2 linked regions of the Struthio camelus genome follow. The protein of the gene in region 1 interacts with the protein of each later gene in a biochemical or structural test. Links are inferred from orthologs where the notes say so. Each region holds a gene or a part of one and is shown on either strand. Other genes may lie near its edges. The genes, in order: MCM5 and MCMBP.

Evidence for each region.
Region 2: the proteins of MCM5 (region 1) and MCMBP form a complex in vitro, tested with the Homo sapiens proteins (2 studies listed by BioGRID). The link is inferred for Struthio camelus from reciprocal best matches to the Homo sapiens genes MCM5 and MCMBP.

The regions. Positions count from the first base shown.
Region 1 is NC_090942.1:59,821,203-59,832,947, reverse strand, and holds the start of MCM5 (DNA replication licensing factor MCM5), read left to right. Parts: upstream 1-6,395; 5' UTR 6,396-6,577; exon of another isoform or gene 6,578-6,651; intron 6,652-6,915; 5' UTR 6,916-6,930; coding exon 6,931-7,097; intron 7,098-8,079; coding exon 8,080-8,206; intron 8,207-8,319; coding exon 8,320-8,448; intron 8,449-8,895; coding exon 8,896-9,068; intron 9,069-10,833; coding exon 10,834-10,989; intron 10,990-11,745. Other genes in the region: HMOX1 (heme oxygenase 1), read left to right, coding at 1-403, 1,016-1,124, 2,655-2,791. UniProt on the Homo sapiens protein: Acts as a component of the MCM2-7 complex (MCM complex) which is the replicative helicase essential for 'once per cell cycle' DNA replication initiation and elongation in eukaryotic cells.
Region 2 is NC_090948.1:6,958,178-6,969,428, forward strand, and holds the start of MCMBP (mini-chromosome maintenance complex-binding protein), read left to right. Parts: upstream 1-5,892; coding exon 5,893-5,950; intron 5,951-6,977; coding exon 6,978-7,063; intron 7,064-8,973; coding exon 8,974-9,134; intron 9,135-9,476; coding exon 9,477-9,518; intron 9,519-11,251. Other genes in the region: SEC23IP (SEC23-interacting protein), read right to left, coding at 1-47, 5,345-5,489. UniProt on the Homo sapiens protein: Associated component of the MCM complex that acts as a regulator of DNA replication.

The sequences.
Region 1 (11,745 bases):
TTTTCCGGTGGAGCTGCACCGGAAAGCTGCCTTGGAGAAAGACTTGGAGTACTTCTATGGCAGCAATTGGAGGGAAGAGATCCCATGTCCTGAGGCTACTCAGAAATACGTAGAGAGACTCCATTACGTAGGCAAGAACCATCCAGAGCTCCTGGTGGCCCATGCCTACACTCGATACTTGGGAGACCTGTCTGGGGGGCAGGTGCTGAAGAAAATTGCCCAAAAGGCCCTGCAGCTGCCCAGCACTGGAGAAGGGCTGGCTTTCTTCACCTTCGATGGAGTCTCTAACGCCACCAAGTTCAAACAGCTCTATCGCTCCCGCATGAATGCCCTTGAGATGGATCTTGCCACTAAGAAAAGAGTCTTGGAGGAAGCCAAGAAAGCATTCCTGCTTAATATACAAGTGAGTAACTACTGGCTAGCCCTGTCTGCCCACACCCTCTCTCAAACAAGATAACAGCTACTGGGGAAAGGCAAAGCTGGTATTTCTGCTATGGAGCTCAAAGCAAGCTATGGGTTAGGGCAAGCTAGTCAGAGTTAGAAATCTCCACGTGTCTTACCTGGGAGCCTAATGAACAATCAGTCTCTGAAAGATCCTTCTCCCTCCCCTAGGGTTTGAATTCAGGCTCTTTCTTGTGCTATTGTTCAGATATAAACAAGGCTTTATGCTGGGAGTAGGGATCACTGTCTACCTGCCCCACCTCCCAATAAAGCTCTACAGCTCCTCTGTGAATGCTGACTAGATACACACATACCTTGCTTTCCTTCCTATCAGAAGATGGGCCTTCTCTTGAGCTGGAAGCCTCAGACAGAACCTGCAAAGTGAACAAGGAGTTTGAAAGATACTCTCTTGACCCCTCAGGCAGATTATGTTCTGTGCAGAACAGGCAGCAGTACCAGGAGGGGCACAACTGGACTGAAGATTTGTGGCTTCCTCTAGTTCTGAAGTGCCTAGCGCAAAGGGGTCCAGCGAAAGAAGAAGTCCACGTAATGAGACAGTGTGCATTCTTTTCAGGTGTTTGAGGCACTGCAGGAGCTGGTGTCTAAGGGCCAGGAGAACGGTCATCCTGTGCAGCTGAAGGCAGAGCTTCGCGCAAGGAACGCTAACAAATCACATGAACATGGTAAGAGATTTCTAAAAGCAGTTGTTTAAAGTTGCCCCATGTGCTTTTCTTTTCCCCCCTTCCTGTGTTCTTGCTTGTACAAGCCACTGAGACATGAGCATGAGGTACTTGCCTCATCTCTTCACCGGCAGTCAGTATATAGTGCAAGAAGGGGCCCTGGTGTGTGTGAAGCTGCTTCCAGACATGGCAAAGCAGGGATGAGACATTTGGGCTCTCCATGAATAGTGTCCCTGAGAAAGTTTTACAGGAAGAGACTACCCTCTCTCTCTCAAGTTTTAACAAGTGTAAGGTTCGTTAGCCACATAAGTTTCAATCAAAGGGGAACCTGGCCTTGAGTTCACAAAGGAAAAGCTGCAGTTCCTGGCCTAGCACATTAGCTGTGACACTGTGATGCTGGTAGAAGGTTCTTGGAGACATGCAACCTTATCCAAGAGCCTGTCCTTTTGGACTAAATCTTCCTGCGGTCGTTTTCATGCCTTCCAGAAGTATTTACTGAAAATAGTTCCTGGAAGCAATGAAAATGTGCTATGTTTAAAATCAGCATGAAATGCGAATGTGTGGTGAAATGTACAGCTCAGAAGTGGAGCTGTACAGGCTCCAGTTCAACTCTGCAGAACTGAAAAGGCTCCATCTACTGGCAAAAGGGAAGATCCTGTGCAAGGGCCCTTTCTGCAAAGCCAATCCAGCTGCTGCTGGCAAAGCGATCTCTTTTTATGAAGTCAGACTTGTGACTGAGTTTGGATAGGGCTCAGATGGCTACGGAGGAAAGTGGCTTCCCTGATAAGAGCTTTCTTATTCAAATCACATCTTATGAGCCACACGTTCTGAAACTAAAAGGGAGATTGTTCACTGCATACTGAGCTGAACCAGTTTCCCAAGGCAAAGAATGCAAATTCTCCTTGTTTTGTGCACCTCTAGAGAGTGAAGCTTAGAGCAACTTCTTCAGGCAGAGTAGCAGAACTTCTCTGCAAATGTTTGCTGCTCTTTTCTCAATAAACCCATACAGGTAGGATTTTCTAAAAAGCTCAGTGTTGGGTGAGAAGTCCCATTCTAAAATTGCTCTAAGACAATTATTTGTCTGCAGTGTTAAGGACTACCCGTTAAAGTCGTAAAATGTCTAACTGATTAAATCATGGGGAGTTAGGGGACAAAATGCCTTTAAAATTCTGGTTTAACCATTTAACTGTCTTCTGGACACATCAGAGGTTTGAAGGAGTCTCTTCAGGATCTGGGCAGGGTATTTATAGGCCAGTAAGGAGACAAGGGAAGATGCCAGTATTCAAGTACAAGCAGAGGTGTTGTGAGCCCTTGGGATTCCCAGGTCAAGTCTGCTGCTTCCCTTCTTCGCCTGCTCTGACAGAGCAGAATCTGCTGTCGCTCTTTCCCCAGCCTCACTGGGCTCTGGGATCTCTCCTTTTCCCCGTAACAACTGCGCCAGGGTCAGCTCCATCACTGTGGAGGGCTAGCATGGCATACTGGCAGCCTCTTGCCTCATCCTGATCTCACCCACTTTTTTTCTATTTAATCTAGGTCCAGGGCCTGGGAAAGAAAGAGAGAAGACAAATATGAGACACACAGAAATGCTACCCACCACTCCCCTTGTGCGGTGGATCCTTGCACTCAGCTTCCTAGCCACAACAGTCGCCGTGGGCTTATTTGCCATGTGAACAAATAGAACCGTCACCTTCTCTTCATGCCTTCCCTCACCCTGAACTAATCCATCTTCCCCAGGCCTTCTGAGAGAAATTCTCCTTGGCTGGGTGCTGTGATCTTGGCTCTGTCACTAACATTAGGAGGCTTCTCTCCCCAGAAAGCAAAGAGAGTGCTAAGGGGGTTCAGGCAAAGTCTCTCCTGTGCTTGGTGTGAGCTATGCCAGAGACTAAATTTATCACCAGAACATAAGGGCAGAAAAGGCCTAAAAGCAGTGGCCAGGAATTGTCATTGTTTTATAGAACTCCTGCAAAAATCCTACAAAATCAGAAACGCAGGTTTGACATCATGTTTTGCCTCAGAAAGAAAAAGCTCCCCGGAGCCCTGTTTGCTCAATATTTTATATGGCTAGCTGATACTGTGATCACTATTTCTGTGGAGCCACATGGTTCCTCTGGGTTATAGACTGTTTTATATGACACTAGTAGGTTAAATCTTTTTCCAATCACTTTTGGTTTTTAAAAAGCAGAACACAGTTGTTGAAGATACAGTGTTGATCTTTTGTCTTGTTATATAATTTATATATATATATAAAATAAACATTAACGTAAAATCTTCAGGCCTGGTGTTTCCTATTGTTAAAGCCATATCCAGGGAGAATGGAGGTGCCTTTCTGCCTCTCAATTTTATGTCTGTTGGAGCTGCTGCCTCCACAGATATGACAATAGACAAAAGTGGGAGTTACCAGAACCAGACTCTGTTCCCACTCTGTTCTAACAATAACTTGTTGTACAAGCTCAGTCAGGTTTCTTAAGCTTCATAATGGTCTCTATTTCCAGAAATTGAATGAAATTCTGTGACTGTACAAAGTATCTTTAAGAGGTAGAAGCTAGACCTAAGAGTTAGCTGCTATTCTATTAAAAGGAAAAAGGTGACTGGGCTCCTGGCTGGTCTAAACTAGGGCTGTTGCCCCTGCCCTGTAGCAGCTAAGGGCCAGGTGCTGTTAATCATAGTGCCTTTCTGAGAACATCACCATGAACCAGAAAAAGAAGTATGTTCTCACCCCTCACAAACAAAATACATACTAGCTTTTCATCCTACAAGACATCAAAACCAGAGACATCAAGCATGTAACTGCATGTCCTCAACTAGGTAACAATCAAACCAAGCCAGCTTACTGCCAGAATTTGGCATGTACAAGGAGTTCCTAAAGACAGTACAAATAAGTAGCAGTGCTGGAGCAGTCCATGTGTACAGCTTTCTGTTTTCCCCTTTTGCTCACTCAAAACTGGAGGTGCGGCCAGCTGCTGTTATGGCCATAGGCCTTATCTGCTTATGAAGGTCTTCTAATACAGAAGTTAACTGCAGGAGCGGCTGCATCTTGAGTGTAACAGAGCAGATACTGACAAGGCCATTACCTTTCAGCTCAGAGTCCCTTCCCCCCTTTCTACCTGAGGAGCCTCTGTGATCAACCTGTCTTCATGATGCTGCCTGTTCTGGCTGTAGCCTTAATCCCAAAGGCATTTATTGCTACTGATCTGTATTAATGATCAGCACTTAACCTACTCAAAGAGCAAGAATCAGAAGGCAGGTCCTACAGAGAATAAACAGTGAGAAAGAGAGACTGTCATTATCATCAGGCTCTTGTCTATCCTATTTTTCTTGTAAAATCTCTTTTAATGCTTCTCTATTTGGACCCATTCACCGATCCCCAGAAAAAGAGAAAACAAGTTAATTGTTAAAAAGAGAGTCAAATGTGTGAAAAGCAGGGATATTAGGCTTGACAGCTATTCAAATCCTATAACTCATTTCATTCGTTCAAATTTATTTTAAGTTCCACCTACTCAGTCTCTCTAAGCCACCCCAACTAAATCATTATGTTCATTCAACCATGCTGAATAAATAAACCTCCCAAACATGCAAACAAATGCCCAAGAGCTCAGAAAATGCACTCTAGCACAATCAGCCCCCCGCTCTGCTGCCCTCAGAGACCATAGCTGTGACCTCAAAGTTAAGAAACTTGGATTCAAACTGACACCATCCCCCTTCCTGTTCATAGCAGAAGAGTATCATGCTCTGAGTTATCTCACAGCCACTGCCGTACCACACACAGAAGGATGCCAGACTGAGCTAAAGCAAGTCTTCAGAGGTGAACGCTAAAACTTTGCTTTGTACTAATCTATAAGCTCTATGAAAATATCTGGCTTCCCTACAGCATAGCTACAGCTGACAAGATTTCCACCCGGTGCTGTTAAAATCTCCCTTGCAACACACTATGCTTCCCAGCTCTGGTTTTCATTTGATATGTGCAGTACCCCACTTTCTAGGAGCTATAATGGTTTCCCAATGACAAGTCAGCTTTCCCCAAAAATTCAGTAGTAGTTAGCAGAAAAACATCCCAGAGGAAACGTATCCTAAAAAAACAGTCTGTTTATATGCGTATTTGGCTTGCTGTGTAAGTACTGTCTTCCCTATGGGACTCTGGGCAGTCCAACCACCTGCCATTCCCTTTTCCAGTATGTCCCAAAGCAAGGATGACTCCTTGCCAAATGGAGTGACTTGGACATGACTCATGTCCAAAGCACATGACCCCTCCCTTCCCCTCCCCTCCCCTCTCTCCCTTTTATGGACCTGTCACCTGAACTAAGGACTAGCCCTCATCCCCCTGTCCCGATGTCAGAGCTCGAGGGCAGGTTGCATCCCAGAAGAGCTGCCCCAAAAGGCAGGAGCACAAAAACAAATCTGGCCCATACAATCTTTGCAGAAAGGGCTCTGAACGCGCTCGGAGGCACCTCTCGCGGCTCAGTAGAGTGCTCCTCATCTGGCCTATGGTACCTGTCACTTCAGAACTGCAAAACAGTTGGGGCTGGCAGGAACCGTCTGGTCCAGCCCCCTGCTGAAGCAGGGTCACCTACAGCAGGTTACCCAGGACCGTGTCCAGCTGGTTTTGAGTATCTCCAAGGACGGAGACTCCACAGCCTCTCTGGGCAAATTAGCATTGATTAAACATTGTATGAACGCTAACTAATCCCCACAGATCTCTGTTATCCCCACTCTGCGGGCGTCAGAGGTGACCCCAGCGCTGCCCAAGGACACTAAAGGCTGCCACTGACCCGATGGGCTTCAGAGGCAGCTGTAGCCCCATTAAACTGCACCCCCCTCCATGTTTGGGGGGGGGGGGTTGGCCCGGGGCCAACACCTGGAGCGCCAAGCAGGGTGAAGAGCTGCCAGGCCCTCAGCTGAACACCTCCTGCCAACGCCTGTCAGCAACGAGCATCTAGGCAGGCAGGAAGGCTAGACAACCCAAGGTTTTCCCTGCCTCCGCCTCCAGCCTTGCGATAATCGCCGCTTTATTTTATTCGTGTCCATTAACGTCGTCACTCGACTCACGGCACGCAGGGACCCGCCCCGCCAGCCTCGCCTCTAGGCGCTCTCTCCCCCCCTCCCCGGCAGCTATGGTTTCGCCCGCCTTCCCCCCCCCTTCCCCCGCGCCGCCTGCAATAGTCCCGCCCGATCCGCCATTTTCCTCCCCTTTTCCCCTCCCTTTCTCTCCCAGTTTTCGCGCCAAATGCGCCCGGCCGAAAGGGGGCGGAGCGCTCGGCTGCGGCGGCGGCCTGGGCCGAAGGGGGCGGGGCGGCGAGGGAAAGGACGGCCAGGGCCAATCCGGGGCGGCGCGCTGCGGGCGGGCCAATTAGGAGCGTGCAGCAGCGGCGCGCTTGGGAGGGGGCGTGTGTCCGGTTTGTTAGCGCCGCGCGCTGCTTTTGCCGCGAAAAGTGGCGGGCCGGTTCCCGGGGAGCGGCGAGGTGCGGAGCCGGGCGGCGGGGGGGGGGGACGGACGAGTTGCGGTTGTCCCAGCACCAGCCGCTCCGGGTCTGGGGTCCGTCCCGCGGGCGGGGGCGAGGGGGCAGTTTGGGGGGTTATTGGCGCAGTCGGTGGGGCAGGGAGAGCAGCGCGGGGTGGGGGTGGGGAGAGTTTTTTGGGGGGGGTGGGCAGGTTGGGAGGAGTAATGGAGTCATGGATGGGGCAGGGGCTGCGGGACCGCGGTGTAGCAGGGAAGGCACCGGAGGGTGGGGACCCCCTGAGACATTTGGGGGGAGGAAGAGGCGGGCAGGGGGCTGACCGTGTCTTCCCACCCCTTCAGTGAATCGTGGTTGCCATGTCCGGCTTCGACGACCCCGGTATTTACTACAGCGACAGTTTTGGGGGTGACGTGTCGGCCGATGAAGGGCAGATTCGGAAGTCCCAGCTGCAGAAACGGTTCAAGGAGTTTCTACGGCAGTACCGGGTGGGCACGGACCGGACAGGCTTCACCTTCAAATACAGGTGCTGCTGTGACTTGTAGCAACCGCTCTTCTCTCTCTGTAGCCTTACTCACTCACTCCTCCTTGCACGTCCAATCCGCTCTTAACCTGCCTTCTGCTATGTAAGTCAAAAGGATACAGTAGCGTATTTTAGCTTGTTTCCTTCCTGTAGACCCCGAAGAGCTCTTTGTTAAGATAAGAAATGACATTGTTCCCATTTGAGCTTATGGGAAAACTGAGGTTTGGCATTCTCCCAAATTCTTAGGCGGTAGTCTGGTCTACAGTGGCAGAGGTAGGAATAGCGGGATCTGCATCGTCGAACTTGCACTTAGATCAGAATTTCAAGGTCTGTTTTCAAGTTTTAGTGCTTCCTGGTCCAGAGTTTTGGTCTGATCGGGAGTATTAAAATTGGTAAAGCACTGTTCGCTTATGCCCTCTGAGGCTCTGAAGGTCCCTTGGCTATCATTTTGCCTATGCAACTTGGAGAGACTACGGAGAGAGAAGATGGAGACATATCATGCAAGGGTCAGGGAAATCTTTCACCTTTCATGTCTGAATTTCTTGCACCCTAGTTTTTATAAGGGGAATATTGCCTGCTATGCTATTACATCCTGTTTTTTAGAATCGCAGTTTAGGTACAATAGACATTCTGTATAGGAGTTCCTGAATTGCACATCTGATATTGTGATTCTAGAATTAAAGTATTAGCACTAAATTTACACTGTCACTGCAAGCACTAGTGTTCCTGGTCTTGTGTCACATTTCAGAGAGTATTTGGATGAAAGATTTGCCCAGGACCCCCTTGGCTTCTCTTAGAGCTCTCCCTATTTTCCCAATTTAAGGAAATTGGGAATTTCCCAATTTTCCAAACTAAGGACTCCATGCAGAACCTGCCTTCTCTTCTCCCTGTTTAGTGACAGGGTCATTGTGGAATGGTGGCTGGACACGTTTGTTAAGATTAGTGCTTTCTGCTCTGCAAGCATTTACTACCTACTGCCTTGCAGGGATGAGCTTAAACGGCACTATAACCTGGGTCAGTATTGGATTGAGGTGGAGATGGAAGACTTAGCCAGCTTTGATGAAGATCTTGCTGACTATCTGTACAAGCAACCAGCGGAGCACCTTCAGCTGGTAAGGATGGAGGGAATGGGAGATCTGGTGCGCTGACATTCAGTCATGTAACGAGAGCAGTCCTGATATTACACTGTAGTATGTCAGTAATAGCCTAGTTATTCCCTTTGTAGTTGGAAGAAGCAGCAAAAGAAGTTGCAGATGAGGTCACCCGTCCTCGTCCTTCAGGTGAAGAAACTCTGCAAGACATCCAGGTCATGCTGAGATCAGATGCCAATGCAGCCAACATCCGCAGTTTGAAGGTGAGGTGAATCTAGCTGCTCTGTGGAGAAACAGGTGGCAGGGCTTGCTCGTGAGAGGGAGGGATTGCTGAGGGAACTTTAAGTACTTGATTATTTACTTCAGGACACGAGTTGTTCACTAATTTACGCACAGGAATATAATGCGTCTTACATCTGACTGCACAGGGTTATTTTGATTGGTTCCTGCTTTGGGGACGTTACTGCTGTTAGGGGTGTTCTAGGTGTAGTGTTTTATCCTCTTACCTCTCTTGCTTTGAAGGCAGAGTAGTTAAAGCCATGCGACCTTCCCCTGCTACTATAGAGCAAGAGTATGGAGTTGTCAAGAAGTGTAAACTTCTTTTATTCTGGTACCCCCATGTTTCTTTAACATCTTGTATCATGGTTAAATTTCTTGTCAGTCTTCCAGCAATGTGCTTTCTCACCTTCCCTTCACCTTTTCCCTTTCAGTCTGACCAGATGTCCCACCTTGTGAAGATCCCTGGGATTATAATTGCAGCAACACCTGTGAGAGCCAAAGCCACCAAAATAGCTATCCAGTGCCGCAGCTGCCGTAACACCATCAGCAACATTGCTGTGCGCCCAGGCTTGGAAGGTTATGCCCTGCCCAGGAAATGCAACACGTAAGGACTGGAATGGAGATGAATCTGCCAGGGTAGTGGGACAAAAGACTCTGTCGTCTTCTTCCCCTTCATCCCATGCATGCTGCATGGAGTCAGCAACCTGTCCCACAAGGTGGAAGTGTCTGCACCGCTCTGAGCCTCTACCTTCCAGTTGCCCTAGTGCCTGCACCCATCCTTGGCCAGTAGCTTTTAGCTCTGTTCATCTAGGAGTAACCTTGATCATGGATGTTCTGTGACCACTGTTGCAAGCGGGGTTGAAAAAGCTGGTTGAAAAAGCTTCTTCCTCTAGACCTGCATTTCCATTGCTTTCAGCGTCTGCTCTTCCCTATTGCTGCAGACACAGAAGATTTTCTTCTTACCTCCTCAAACTCTCATCTGTCCCTCACTCTTTTCACTCTTGCATTTTGTCTTTTATTAATAAACAAAACAAAGTCAAACAAAAAATCCTCTTGCCTGTCAGACTTTTGCGCTGGCTTCTTACCATGGGCTCACTGAAGCACTTTCTATGGCTGTCTGGAGGTCCACCTTCTAGGTTTCTCTGTGCATTGGCTCTTGCCTTCTTTCTCCACTGAGTCTGTCTGTGTTAGAGTTTCTTGTTATGAGGATTGTTTGTCTTCACTTTCTAAGCTGGCTGCTGCCTTACCTTGCTTTCCCCTGTTGTCAGGTACCTAAAGGTTCACTCCTGCCTCCAGTTGTCCTGTAATACTGTTTTAAGTTGCTATCCTAACTTCCTATTAAGTTGTTATTTTTTTCAAGCAAACTTCTTGCCTCCCAGTTGCCTCTGCTCAGATTGCTTTTTTCATAAACTTCTGTAATAGCACTTTGCTACTAACTAATAGTACTTTGCAAACCCCTCTCTATAGCTCGTGATGCCTGTGTGAACCACGAGCATTAGGCTGCCATGGTGCTGCAGTGCTCTCGTGCTGGCTGATTCTGATGGATTGTGTGATCTCGTGTCTGCTAGTATTTTCCTGTGTCTCATCTTAAACACAGCTTGAGGGATCTTTGGGATGAGAATCATTCTTGTATTTAGTCTGTAGAGCACCTAGTTCCCGAAGCTTGACTGCAGAAGTGCGTCTGCGCATTTGTAGTGCAGCCGCCTCTCCTCCTATCTTGAATGGGGCTGACGTTCATGAGATTTTTCCTTGTCATATTATCCTCCCTGAAAGCCTATCGCTGCCTGCATGCGTTCAGGCACCAGTAATAATGTACTGAGAAGCCAGCAGGATGTGGAGGTGCTTCTTGTCTCAAAGAGCTTGTAGTATAGCAAGGCAGATATGTAGAGCCAGTGTCTCGAGAGACTAAGAGGTTGATGACAGTCTTGTCACATTGCTAATTGCTTTCTCAACAGAAACCACTTAACATTTGCTTCGTGCACCAAGTTATAAAGAAAAATGCTCTGTCAGGTCATTGAGTCTATACTGTTACCTTCTGTGCAATTACTGAATTACCTTCCTCTTTGGTTTTATCTAGCAGGGAAGAGGGAGGAGGCTGAAAGGGTATTCAGGGGAAATATCACTGTGTTTGGCTTGTTCTAATAGCTTGACCTTAACACCTGCCTTTGGCAACTGTTGAATACAAGATACAGGGTCAGGTGAACCTTTCGTCTGGCCTGTATGACTGCTCTTCTGGCTTGCTTGGTACTATTGGGGAGGGTGGGCTGTTCTGGGGTGTGAGACCACTCCTGCCTATGCAAAAGGGGCTTTGAGGTGGTGTCTTCTGAGTCCTGGCATTCAGCTAATTTCCCTGATTGATCTCTGTACAGAGAACAGGCTGGCCGCCCCAAGTGCCCGCTGGACCCGTATTTCATTATGCCAGATAAATGCAAGTGTGTGGACTTCCAGGTCCTGAAGCTCCAAGAGTCTCCAGACGCTGTGCCTCATGGGGAGATGCCCCGGCACATGCAGCTGTACTGTGACAGGTAACAGCAAGTCCCCTGTCCCACCACCCCACAGGGCATTTCAGACAGCTGGTACTGGATTCAACTCTTCCCTGGCAAGAAGTTATCTGAGTTGAAATGGATATTGTGGCCTTTTCTGCATCAATCCTTAGGAGCATTGCACAAGACTGCTCAAAAACAGATTTGTACACACCTCTGTACCTGTGAGGTTACCTCACAGCAGCGCCGCAATGTTTTAATAGCTGCCACGTCCTGGGGATGGCTGGCCAGCCTCTTCCTCCTATGATTTTCAGAGCCAAATTTTTTGTGGCCATGAGCCATGCCACATACCTTGGGAACCAAGCAGTTTAGGAAGCAGCTCTCAGACATGAGGGGTGACAGTGACTCCCTGGAATGCTGCTCCTCTGTTTTGGGAAAGACATGGGCCGGTCTATAGATAAGTTGCTCCATCTCAGAGTGATGTTGCATTGTTGCTCCTGGCAGCCTCTGCTTACATCCTCATGCAGCTGGTGGCTGAGATTGCTCAGCAGGCCTGGACAATATGGCTTCCTGCTGGTGAAGTTACTTTGGTCTCATATGGGAGCCTCAGTGAGCAAGTTCAACAGCCATAAATTGGCTCCCTTGATATTTCTTGAGTTAGTCCCGGCCAGGTCTCCCCTTTTGACAGCCCCTACTGCTGAGTGTTGGGCCTTGAAACTTTTCGGGGGTTGGCAAGAGAGGGGATAAAAGGTGTTGCTGGTGCTGTCCTTTTCCTCCCTGTCATCCTTTGCTTTCTCC
Region 2 (11,251 bases), on another chromosome or scaffold:
AGTCTGACCCAAGAAGCTGTCCTCTTCGCCAACATCTGCAGAATCATCTAGGGGTAAGAGAGGAAGGTAAATTACCAGAGAAGTCCTGAGAGGTTTGAACTACTGAGTACACACAGTCAAAGATGTTCTGTAACATTATGAACTATTTCCGAAACTATTAGTCCTGATAAAGCCAAAAGTATTAAAGCTTACAAATCACATCCTTAAAAATTGAATGTGCCATAAAGTGCAACAAAAGATACCAAGTCTTCAGGAACATTTAAAACGGAGCATAAAACTCAGCGTACATGGACAACGCAACAAAAGTTAAGAACTGGAAATAAGAAGCATTCCACTGCAAGGCAAAAAATATAATGAGCTTCTTACACCACCCACTGTGTACATTTGAACTCCCTTTCCACCTATTTGCTCTCTTATGAAACTGTGAGAGCTAACAATTACTTTTTTCTGAAGAGATGCTAAGTTGTATACCATGAGGAGAAGACCATCTTGTGGAGCGAGGCTCTGCAAATTGGCACAGCCAAATCAACAGTATTTCTGTCCTAAAAATAGGATTTTGCCCTTCCCTTCCTCCTTGCGCTTAGCCAGGGTCCCATTCCTTTCCTTGAGTCAGCTCCAATGCTTGTCTCTAGTGCTCAGTCCTGCTCAGCTCTGCAACACCGCAATTTACAGTATACGTTTGGTAAACTGAAATTGGTTGCAGTTTGCCTTAAAATGCTGAAATCAAGTGCTTACTTGTGCAGCAAAAGTAAAACAGACAGCTCTAGGTGGTAACATCCTCAGCAACCACAGCTCTTATGTTTCTTTTGGAGGGAAAAAGGTTCCCACTTACAAGGCATGGGTTCACTCTCCTGAAAGATATGCTTCTAGAACTATTTATGGGAGCACAACACAGAGGAGATCACTGAAAAGACTGTTGTTAAGAGATAAGCCTCAAAACAAACAGCATTTTAACTCATTGACCTCATTTCACAGTGCAGTGTCATAAACTGCTGCCTCAGCACAACTGAAGGCTCAGCAGTACACAGCTGAAGTTAGGACCTTCCCAAGCCAACGTAGCAAAGAACCCTGCTTCCAGGACACTGGAATCCCTTTCAATTCCCCCTTATGCCTACCAGGTGCAAAAAGATCCTTAGTCGACTTCCTTTCACCATGAAAACAGCCTCTAAGCACTTCACCTTCCAATTTTTTAAGCTTCCAAGATCAAATTCAGAGGAGCTTAAGAAGATTCCCCAATAGGCCACATCTACTGGTTAAGCAGTGCGTTCTCATCTCCCCCTTCAGAAGGGCCCTCTCAAGATTCCCCATTTGACTTGCAAGGTGGCAAAAACACAACAACCCATGTCATTAGAAAAGCACAGTTTATTTCAGTTCTGTCTATATATCTTATTCTAGAGTGGCACAAGAGCTACATTTCTGGTCCAGAGGAAAACAAGTAACTGCAATAATTCCAGGAGAGGGCCTAAAAGGTGCAATGCCATATGCCTGCCCTTTTGCATCAAAAGGGGAAGTATATAAAACCAGGTCCCGGTCAAGTAGAGTTTTCTGCTTTGCAATGATCCAGTAACAAGCGACAACCAAGCGGTTTGACATTATTATAGGTCTCACAGTAAGCTCAATTGAACCTGGGACGATCTGAGCATCGCCACCCACCTGCTGAGGGAACAGCCTCTTCTGAGCAGCCAACACAATTTACAGAAGTCATAAAAGTGCTCTCATCTACTCTAGCAGTTAAATAATCCCCAGACTGTGGGGAAGAAATTGCTTCGAAGAACGATCATTGCTTCTCTGCTACTCAGTCATTAGCCAAAGAAACAAACTAAACATCCCTGCAGCCACAAGCAGTCAATAACAAATGTCTTTATCTGCAGCCGAAACAGCTAGAGTATCAAGGGAGAATAGGGGAATGCACAGAGAACTCAAACTAGGAAGCTGCTGTTCTAGTTCATTAAATGGAAAACAAATAGCTGCCATCACTAAGACCATTTTAACCATCTGCTTTTATTCAGTTGCCCTTTCAGATGGTGTCAACTGGCCAATGCAGATGATGCTTGGTGTGTTATATTCTATTTTGAGGAACAAAACATCAAACCTATGCATGCAAACGATCTTGTGGAGAACACTAAATTTCATTTATAAGTAATGACCATTATAAACTCAGGCATGTGAATTACCTTCCAAACAGAAGAATAGCCACTTATACTATGGTCTTTGTTTCTAAATATTCTCCTTTCATATTTGATAGACATCATGGAATAAAGAGCAGCGTATCGCATACCACACAGTCAGGTCTCCACTTTCCAGAATGCCCAGGAGTAGAAGAGGTAATACATCTCATGGCAATTTCAGTGCACTGCTACGTGTTAATCATAATCTAAAAAAACGAGTCAAGGCCTTTACCAAATGCCTGTGCACAAAACACCTACTATTCTTCAGTTTCGACTAGTTCGGGGAGATTAAGTGTAACAGCATGTTCCCCTGAAAAACAGGGAGTTGACTAAAGTTCTCCCAAAACAAATGTATGACAACCTTCTGTATCCCTCACAGACATCACCTTCTCATTCACAGATCATCCTCTGACAATCACAAGTGACAGATTTCCACCTTCTCATCAGGAGTACTCTTCTCTATTTAAAGTATATTGGTTACTTCATTTGCATTAGAGCCTGAGAATACCTCTTTTCTCATCAAACTGCAAAGCACAAAACACTCCTTACTCACTTTTAGAGATATAACAGATTTATCAGTGCACAAATCTTCCAGACGTGGATGTCAGAAGCAATTCCCGAGACCAGTTTCCATTACATTTTACACCATTTAGGATTCAAGCTCAATGGCTTGCTTTTCCTTGGTTCAAATTAGGGTTCAAGGAGCAAACTACTCTCTACAGGTAAATCCCTATTCCCATTAGGGAATTAGGGAAGGCAAGGGACCACAAAAGCAGAACACTTAACAGGATTGAGGCCCTACTTGGATAGATACAATGTGTGGCACATCCTCAGCAGGAGACCTTTGGCATTGAAATTGGTTCCAGTTGATTCTCAGCCCTGGTGAGGCCACATCTGGAGCACTCTGTCCAGATCTGGGCTCCCCAACACAAGAGAGACATGGAACTACTGCAGCGAGTCCAGCAGAGGGCTACTAAGACGTTTAAGGGACTGGAGCATCTCTCTGCAATGTGCCTTCTAGACATTCTGTTCTCCTTTCGCTCTACTGTTACCCAGTCAACATACTCCATCCTCTTTCTCATTGCCCAGTCTCAGTTCCCCTCCTTAATCATGCTTCTTCATTTCCTCTACCTGCCCTCAGCTTTCCTCCCCTTCTTCTTCTAGTATCTCCCTGCCCCTTTCTTTTTGGCGTTACCAGCTATGAGAAACAACACATTCCGGTCTAAGTCTACCCAGCCACAGTGAGGCTGCATCTGGAGCACTCTGTCCAGTTCTGGGCTCCCCAACACAAGAGAGACACGGAGCTACTGCAGTCAGACCAGGAGACACATTATTAAGGGACTGGAGCATCTCTCCTGCGAGGAAAGGCTGAGAGAGCCGGGCCCGTTCAGCCTGCAGAAGAGAAGACTCAGGGGGGAATCTGATCAACGCGTACAAGTATCTGAAGGGAGGGTGCCAGGAGGATGGGGCCAGCCTCTTCTCCGCGGTGCCCAGCGACAGGACGAGAGGCAACGGGCACACACTGAAACCCTTCGTCTGAACACGAAGGAAAAACTCCTTTGCTGTGAGGCTGACAGAGCACTGGAGCAGGTTGCCCATGGAGGTGGTGGAGTCTCCTTCCCTGGAGATACTCAAAAGCCGTCTGGACACAACCCTGTGCAATATGTTCTAGGTGACCCTGCCTGAGGTCCCTTCCAACCTCATCCATTCTGTGAAAAACTACGAATCTTCATCTGACCAGCTTAAGTGAGATAGAGACTACATGTTCGATCATAAATTTTGTTATTGAAATCTCATCCTCAGGTCTTCTCCATAGCTAGCTTCAAAGTCATAGAGGAAGCTGACACAGGAAAGCCATCTCTGCAAAGCTACTTAATAACTATTTTTTAAATGAAAAACATTGTATAGCGGCAACAAGAACTATAAGGATTGCACAAGTGGAAGTGGTGCATGTATCAGCTGCCTAGATACCTCACACAGGTAGGAGCGATATTCTAGTACTTTACACTACTCAAAAAGGCAGTTCAGTAGATATTTAAAGAATAAAAATGAAAAAGTGTTTCTAAGCCATACTTAACAAACATGTTTTTAAAATTACAAGGATTTACTTCATTTGTTTCCAGGCATATTAACACTTATCCTAAGTAAAATACAGCACTGTTGAAATCAGCTCTTGAATTCTGGACTCAATATGTGCCAGTCCTGTGAAGCTTAAAAATACTTGATTTCTAGATGCATTTTTACTGTTTAGGGCTTTTAATCTTAGACAGAACACACTTCCAAAAAATCTGTTCCTGTATCTGAAGTCATCTGAGCTTCAGTTTTAAGTTGTACGTACATAGGTTTGACGTACCATCCAGGCTTTGCAAGGAAGTGATATTAATCACCTAGCCTAAGCAAACAAGGAAATTTGAGGTACCTGCTTAGCATACTATTTTCAGGCAGGGAAAAAAAAGACAACGTCAGAGAGTCCTCTGAAGACTATTTATCCTACAAAACTGAAGTAAATGCCACTTTAAAAAAAATGCAATGCAGGAAGCACTGTCTGAACACGAAGGACAAACTTCTTTACCGTGAGGCTATATTAAATAGTCCTCTGCACAGAAGCATCAAAACAAAATTAATTGCTCAAACAAGAATGCTAACCTGTTAACTGGACACACGATAAAGCCTCTCCCCCTCTCTTCAGACACAGCACTAAAACCGAACACTTCAGTATCAAGCCCATGCATGAAAACAGCATACCTGAAGGAGCCTGTCTTCCCTAAAGCACCAACTCCAACAGCTGCCAGTGAAAACCAGCTCAGAAAACCTCACAGCAAAGCGACTACAGCCAAACAAAAAACTCGGCCCTCGCTAGGGAAGGGTCGAGCCAGCGTGAGGAAGGAAGCCCACCTTCCTGTTTGTTGCTCGGCGGACAGCAGGACCGGCGGATCCAAACACAGTTGCGCAACACAAGCAAAGAACAAAAAAAAAGAAAAAGAAAGAAAAAAGAGGAATCGCCTCTCTGTCCCCTCCCCCGCCCCGAGCCCGGCCACGGAGCGCAGCGGCCGCCCCGCACCTCGGGGCCTCCGGAAGGCTCCCCCCGCCCGGCCCCCGGCCCCCGCCGGGCCCACAGCCCGCTCCCCCGCGCCGGCGGCCGCCCCGCCACCCCTCGGCCCCCAGCGCCCCCGTACCCGCCGAGAGGACAGCGGAGTCCGGCGGCCCGGCTGGGGCCTGGCTGACCGGGATGAAGGGCACCGTGAAGTTGAACTCGGTGGCGGAGGAGGAGAAGAGCAGGTTGGTGCCGCCACCACCGGCCCCGGGCTTGGCCGCCGCCATGGCTGCGCTGCTTCCACGTCTCTTCCCTCGCGGCGGCCCGGCCCCTTCCGCCCTCACCGCTGCCCGCTTCCAACATGGCGGTAGCGGCGACGCGCTCCCCCCCCCCCCGCCCCGTTCCGCGCACGGGCGCGGAGAGGAGGAGGAGGAGGAGAAAGCGGGCGGGGCGGGCCTGGCCCAGCCCTGCTCTTCCCTGCCCTGGTGCCGCCGCCATTGCCGCGGCCGCCGTCAGAGGAAGAGGAGGAGGAGGAAGGCGGAAGCCGGGCGCCCCTGTGCAAGGCTTGCGGGCGGGAGAGTGTCGGCGGCAGCAGCAGCAGCGGCAGCAGGGTGCGAGGCCCCGTCACTGACGCGGGGGAGTTGGCAGCGGCCCCCCCCCGCCCCGTCCCTGGGCGAGGCTCGCCCCGCCATGCCGTGTGTAGCCGACTGGCTCAACAACCCCTTCAGCATCGTGCAGGGCATCTTCGGTGAGCGGCGGCGGGCCGGGGGCCGGCTCCCTCTCAGGAGGCGCCCGTGAGAGGCCGGGCGGGCCGGCCTGGGCGGCGGCGGGGGAGGGCCGGGGCCGGTTCCCTCTCAGGAGGCGCCCGTGAGAGGCCGGGCGGGCCGGCCTGGGGCGGCGGCAGGGGAGGGCCGGGGCCGGTTCCCTCTCAGGAGGCGCCCGTGAGAGGCCGGGCGGGCCGGCCTGGGCGGCGGCGGGGGAGGGCCGGGGCCGGTTCCCTCTCAGGAGGCGCCCGTGAGAGGCCGGGCGGGCCGGCCTGGGGCGGCGGCAGGGGAGGGCCGGGGCCGGTTCCCTCTCAGGAGGCGCCCGTGAGAGGCCGGGCGGGCCGGCCTGGGGCGGCGGCAGGGGAGGGCCGGGGCCGGTTCCCTCTCAGGAGGCGCCCGCGAGAGGCCGGGCGGGCCGGCCTGGGGCGGCGGCGGGGGAGGGCCGGGGCCGGTTCCCTCTCAGGAGGCGCCCGCGAGAGGCCGGGCGGGCCGGCCTGGGCGGCGGCGGGGGAGGGCCGGGGCCGGTTCCCTCTCAGGAGGCGCCCGTGAGAGGCCGGGCGGGCCGGCCTGGGGCGGCGGCGGGGGAGGGCCGGGGCCGGTTCCCTCTCAGGAGGCGCCCGTGAGAGGCCGGGCGGGCCGGCCTGGGGCGGCGGCGGGGGAGGGCCGGGGCCGGTTCCCTCTCAGGAGGCGCCCGCGAGAGGCCGGGCGGGCCGGCCTGGGCGGCGGCGGGGGAGGGCCGGGGCCGGTTCCCTCTCAGGAGGCGCCCGTGAGAGGCCGGGCGGGCCGGCCTGGGGCGGCGGCCAGCGGCAGCCGGCGGCTTCCCGCCTCGGGCGCCTGAGGCGCGAGGGGGCGGTGTGGGGGCGGCTCGGGGCCCGGCCCCGCCGCGGCTGCAGGGTTAGGCAGGGAAAGGCGTTCCTGCGGGAAGGGAAGGGGTGAGTTTGAAACGGCTTGCGGCGTGAGGGGAACGCCGGGTAGATGCTGATGCCGCTGTCAACGTGCGTTGTGTCGTAGCGCAAAATGATCCGAGCTCCGACTGGGAGAGGAAGGTGACCGAATATTTCAGAGAGAAGCTGAAAGAAAACAACGCTACTCACTGGGTAAGGTGGTTTTTATTCTGGGAGCGTTGCGCCGGTGCTAAGTTTCGCCCTTCTTGCCTCCTGGTGGCCGTGGCGCCCGGCTTCGGAGCAGCCCTTCGTCGGGAAAGGGGCGCTCGGCCCCGGGTTCCTCGGAAGCGCGCTTCTGAATGTTAGGCCTAGCCTTTGTAACGCGCTGTTTACGTCTCCGTTGGTAGGTAGGTAGGTAGGTAAAAACGAAGATGTAAAATCCTGCCTCAAGCCACTCCCCGTGACTTTCGGGTGGTGTGTGGGTTTTTTTTTTTTTTTTTTTTTTTTTTGGCCTCGGCCGTCGCCGCCGAGCGCCGCCTGTTTGTGGCGCCGCCCAGCAGATGGCGGGAGCTGACTAATGAGTGCTGGTGTTTCCTCAAAGCGTGATAACTAACGGGGGTTTGTGGCCGCCGTGCTGCGGCGGAGGTTTGTACGGCGCCGGGGTCCCGACTGCTGGGCAGACACCCCTCCGCTCAGCGGCTGCCCGTGCAGCGCCGTGACCTCCCTGGGGGCTGATGAAACAGCTGCTTGGTTTTTCGTCTTTGAGGCAGAGCGGGGGCGGGGGGGAAATACCATCTGCCTAAAAACTGTTCTGGATCAGGCCAGGTTTTGAAAGTGCAGGAAGGAAGCTCTCCTTTATTTTTAAAGCTAAGCAGGCACGCTTGAGCTCAAAAGGTGATGCTGTTCTGAAGGGCTGTGGGGAAACGGTGTCGTGGAGCTCTGTCCTAGTTGGACTAGGAGCTCTCAGTGTCGAATCTGTTCTATTTATGATTTAAAAAAACAAATACAAATAAAATTGTTTTTTTTTTTTGTTTTAATTTTTCTGCCAGTGAGAGAGGAATTCTGTGTTTGAGTGTCAAGGACAGTTTAAATCATAGTGTAGAGGAATAATTCTGTTCCTCCAGCAGAACTGTGTTAAATTTGCAGCAGTAGAAGGAATTAAAATAAAAACATATTTTCTTACTCAAGATGAACACGAGGGAGTATGTGAGTTGTTGTTGGTTTAGTTTTTTTGTTTGTTTAAGTCATTTTTACAGGGCCACTTTTGGTTTCATGTCATTTTAACGTTGAGTGTGATATCTTAACCAAGAGTTTATTTTAAAAACCAAAAAAAAAAACAACCTTATAGCAGGTCTCATTATTTTGATTTGTACTATATACCTGGACACCCGTTTTCCTTCTGCTTTTCTATTATCATATAAATATATGCAAAACAAACTCCCCCAGTGTGAAGGACTTTCAGATTAAGATACAATTTTTCTTCCTGTCCTTTTGGAAATACAAATATTTTGTTATAAGAAATTGTGCATGCAATTGCTGCAGTATCACTGATGCATGATGCATGGTCAAAGTGTTGTTAAATGGGAATAAAATAAGTAATAAATTTTATCTTAATATTCAGTTGAAATAATCCCCAAACTAACATTACAATCTCATATGTTGTTAAAGAGTTTACATACAGTTTCAATGAACTGAAACCCGTTTGTTTAGTCTGATATTGGAACTGAGAAATGAATGAGACTAATGGCTTTGCAACTGGAAAAATTTGGGAACTGTCAGTGTATGATAATCGTAACTATTGCCTCTAACAGCTACTGCAGAAACTTCCAGTGGTGTCAGGTATATTGTTACCTCTTGGACTGGGGCAGTAGATTTGGGGGCTAGGTGTGGGGAGAAAAGTACCCAGAAAATACTGAATCTGTTATGTGATGAGATGCTGAATTGTCAAAGGCAATTAATCTTATTGTCAATAAAATAGGCTTTGAGGCAAATAAAGTCAACAGCAGGAAACACTGAATGACCAGAGAATAAATTGGTGACAGCTTATGTGCAGTTTCTGGCTTACTTCAGGGCATTTCTCAATATTTATATAGCAGTTGTTTAGAATAAGCTCTCTTTTTCAGGTTCCGTCACTAAATGATGTTCCCCTACATTACCTAAAGCCCAACAGCTTAGTGAAATTTCGCTGCATGGTTCAAGATATGTTTGATCCTGAGTTTTACATGGGAGTCTATGAAACAGTTGATCCAAACACAAACATGCGTGTAAGTGAAATACTGTTTTGGTAAATGTTTAGCATTTTCTTCATTCCGTTCTTCATGCTTCTCTAGTTTTCTGAGTTAAACCTGTGGAGTCCAGGCACTGTCTAGTATTAACTCTATTTAAATAACTCAAATGGCATCAGTAACGTATTGCTTCGTATATTTCTGTTTATGAAGTATTGAAAACAAAATTCGGAAGGTTATTATTGCAAATGTAATTTGAGGGAATCAAAATTACTAAGGTAATGAAAGTTTGAGCAGTATGTCTTTGAAGGTTTTTAGACTGCAATAAATTTGGTGCAAGTAGTCCATATTCAGGATGTACTGGAAACGGAATAATTGCGTTGCTTTTGTCTTCTTGACAGGTTTTGCATTTTGGTAAATACAGAGACGTGGCAGAATGTGGGGTAAGTTATATGTTTTCTATATCAGATTTCGAGATGAAATATTATTCAGACAGAAAGATGCATTTTTATAAGTGCAGTATAATTTATTTGGCACTCATCAGTGAATCTCTGGAGATGCCGTTCTTAAAATTCCAAATTAAGCCCAGGTTTGGAAAGCAGAGAACTCTTAATTGCTCCTGTGCATGCTAAGTTCAGCAGTCTTCAAGCTACTTCCGTAGTATTTAAAGCTTGTTTTGCTTTTATATGCTGTTATCTGTGGTCGTTAGTTTTGGCCACTAATTCTTTGCCAAGAAGCAGGCTAGTGGAAGTGTTTTTTTGTTTGCTTGTTTTTTTAAGTCTCTTGAAACTTCCTGATATGGCAAACACTTTATTTTTGGTAGTGCAGTGCTATTAGTGTGAAAACATTATAGATTCAGACTCCTTGGAATCGTGCAAGATCGCATACTTGTGAGACGATGGCTGTTGTAACTTCTGGCTAGATACATGGTTCTATGGAATTAGCTAAAAAAAATCGATTGTTAACATCATTTATTTTTGGTATTCCAGCCTCAGCAGGAGATTGATTTGAACTCCTCACAAACAGTAACATGGGAGAGACAGACATTCTACTGCGTTCCAGTGCCTGGCGAATCAGCATGGGTGAAAGAAATATCTTTTGTCTGAGCCAATGCTCTGTTATACAAATAGTTATCACCACCAGCTAAGTCATTGGATTCTTAAATAGATAAGACTATTTAAAGTTTCTTAGATTCTGAGTAACTGGGGACGGATGAGGAGGAAATGTGGTAGATGCAGGAAAAATAGAAGGCAAAAAAATTAGTGGTATGCACAAACAGGATAAAAATAAATTTAGTGGAATTGATTATTGATTTGGTAGGGTTTCAAACTAGATTTTCATGTATGCTTGAGAGGGTTTTGGAAATCGCTGCTTATTTCTATTTGCAAATGTTTAGAAAATTTGAAACTTCTGTAGAGCCATGAATGTTTCATTGGCCTTTTCAGATTAAATTAGGACATTATTTAATGGCAGTCTAATGCAAGTACCTGTAAAAAGACCTGTAGCTGAGTGTGTTGAGTCATTCTTGAACGTTAAGTATTGTCTTTTTAATTGCTCAGATGCAGCCTGTCATTTTCTAAATGAGTTTGGAAAACATCTTGGGGAAAAACAAATCAGCTTTAGTTTCTCCTAATAAATGGAAGCTGAATTGTCTAAGTGGAATGGATATGGCATGCTTCTTCTAATGCCTTTTAGGAGTTAAATATTCTCCTCTTCTCTAAGGCCTCTAAGTGGAGGTCTAGAAAACTTAAGATACATTGCATTTTGTAAAAAGAAAGGAAATGCTGATAAATCCAGTGTGTTTAGATATTTCATATTTTGAGTTTAGAATTTAAGAAAACTCTACTGTTCATTGGCGGTTTTAAAATTAAGCTAATGCTATTTTTATAATAAAATGATTGGTGAGAGTCAGTCTTTAAGTGAGTAATGCTTACATCAATATACTGCAGCAGTGGGAATTTAATATAAGCCTGACTATTATAAAAATACTGAACATTATTTCAATAGTTACCTATCAAACTAAGAAAAACTAAATAGAGAAAGAAAAGTGTATTAGCTTTTCTAAATTCAGTTATTATATATGAAGTGCAGCATTGCTAGTATCTTGACAGTGCATGAACATTTTCTGTGTTGTATTAAAGTAATCATAATATTTAATTGAATCGGACAGCAATTC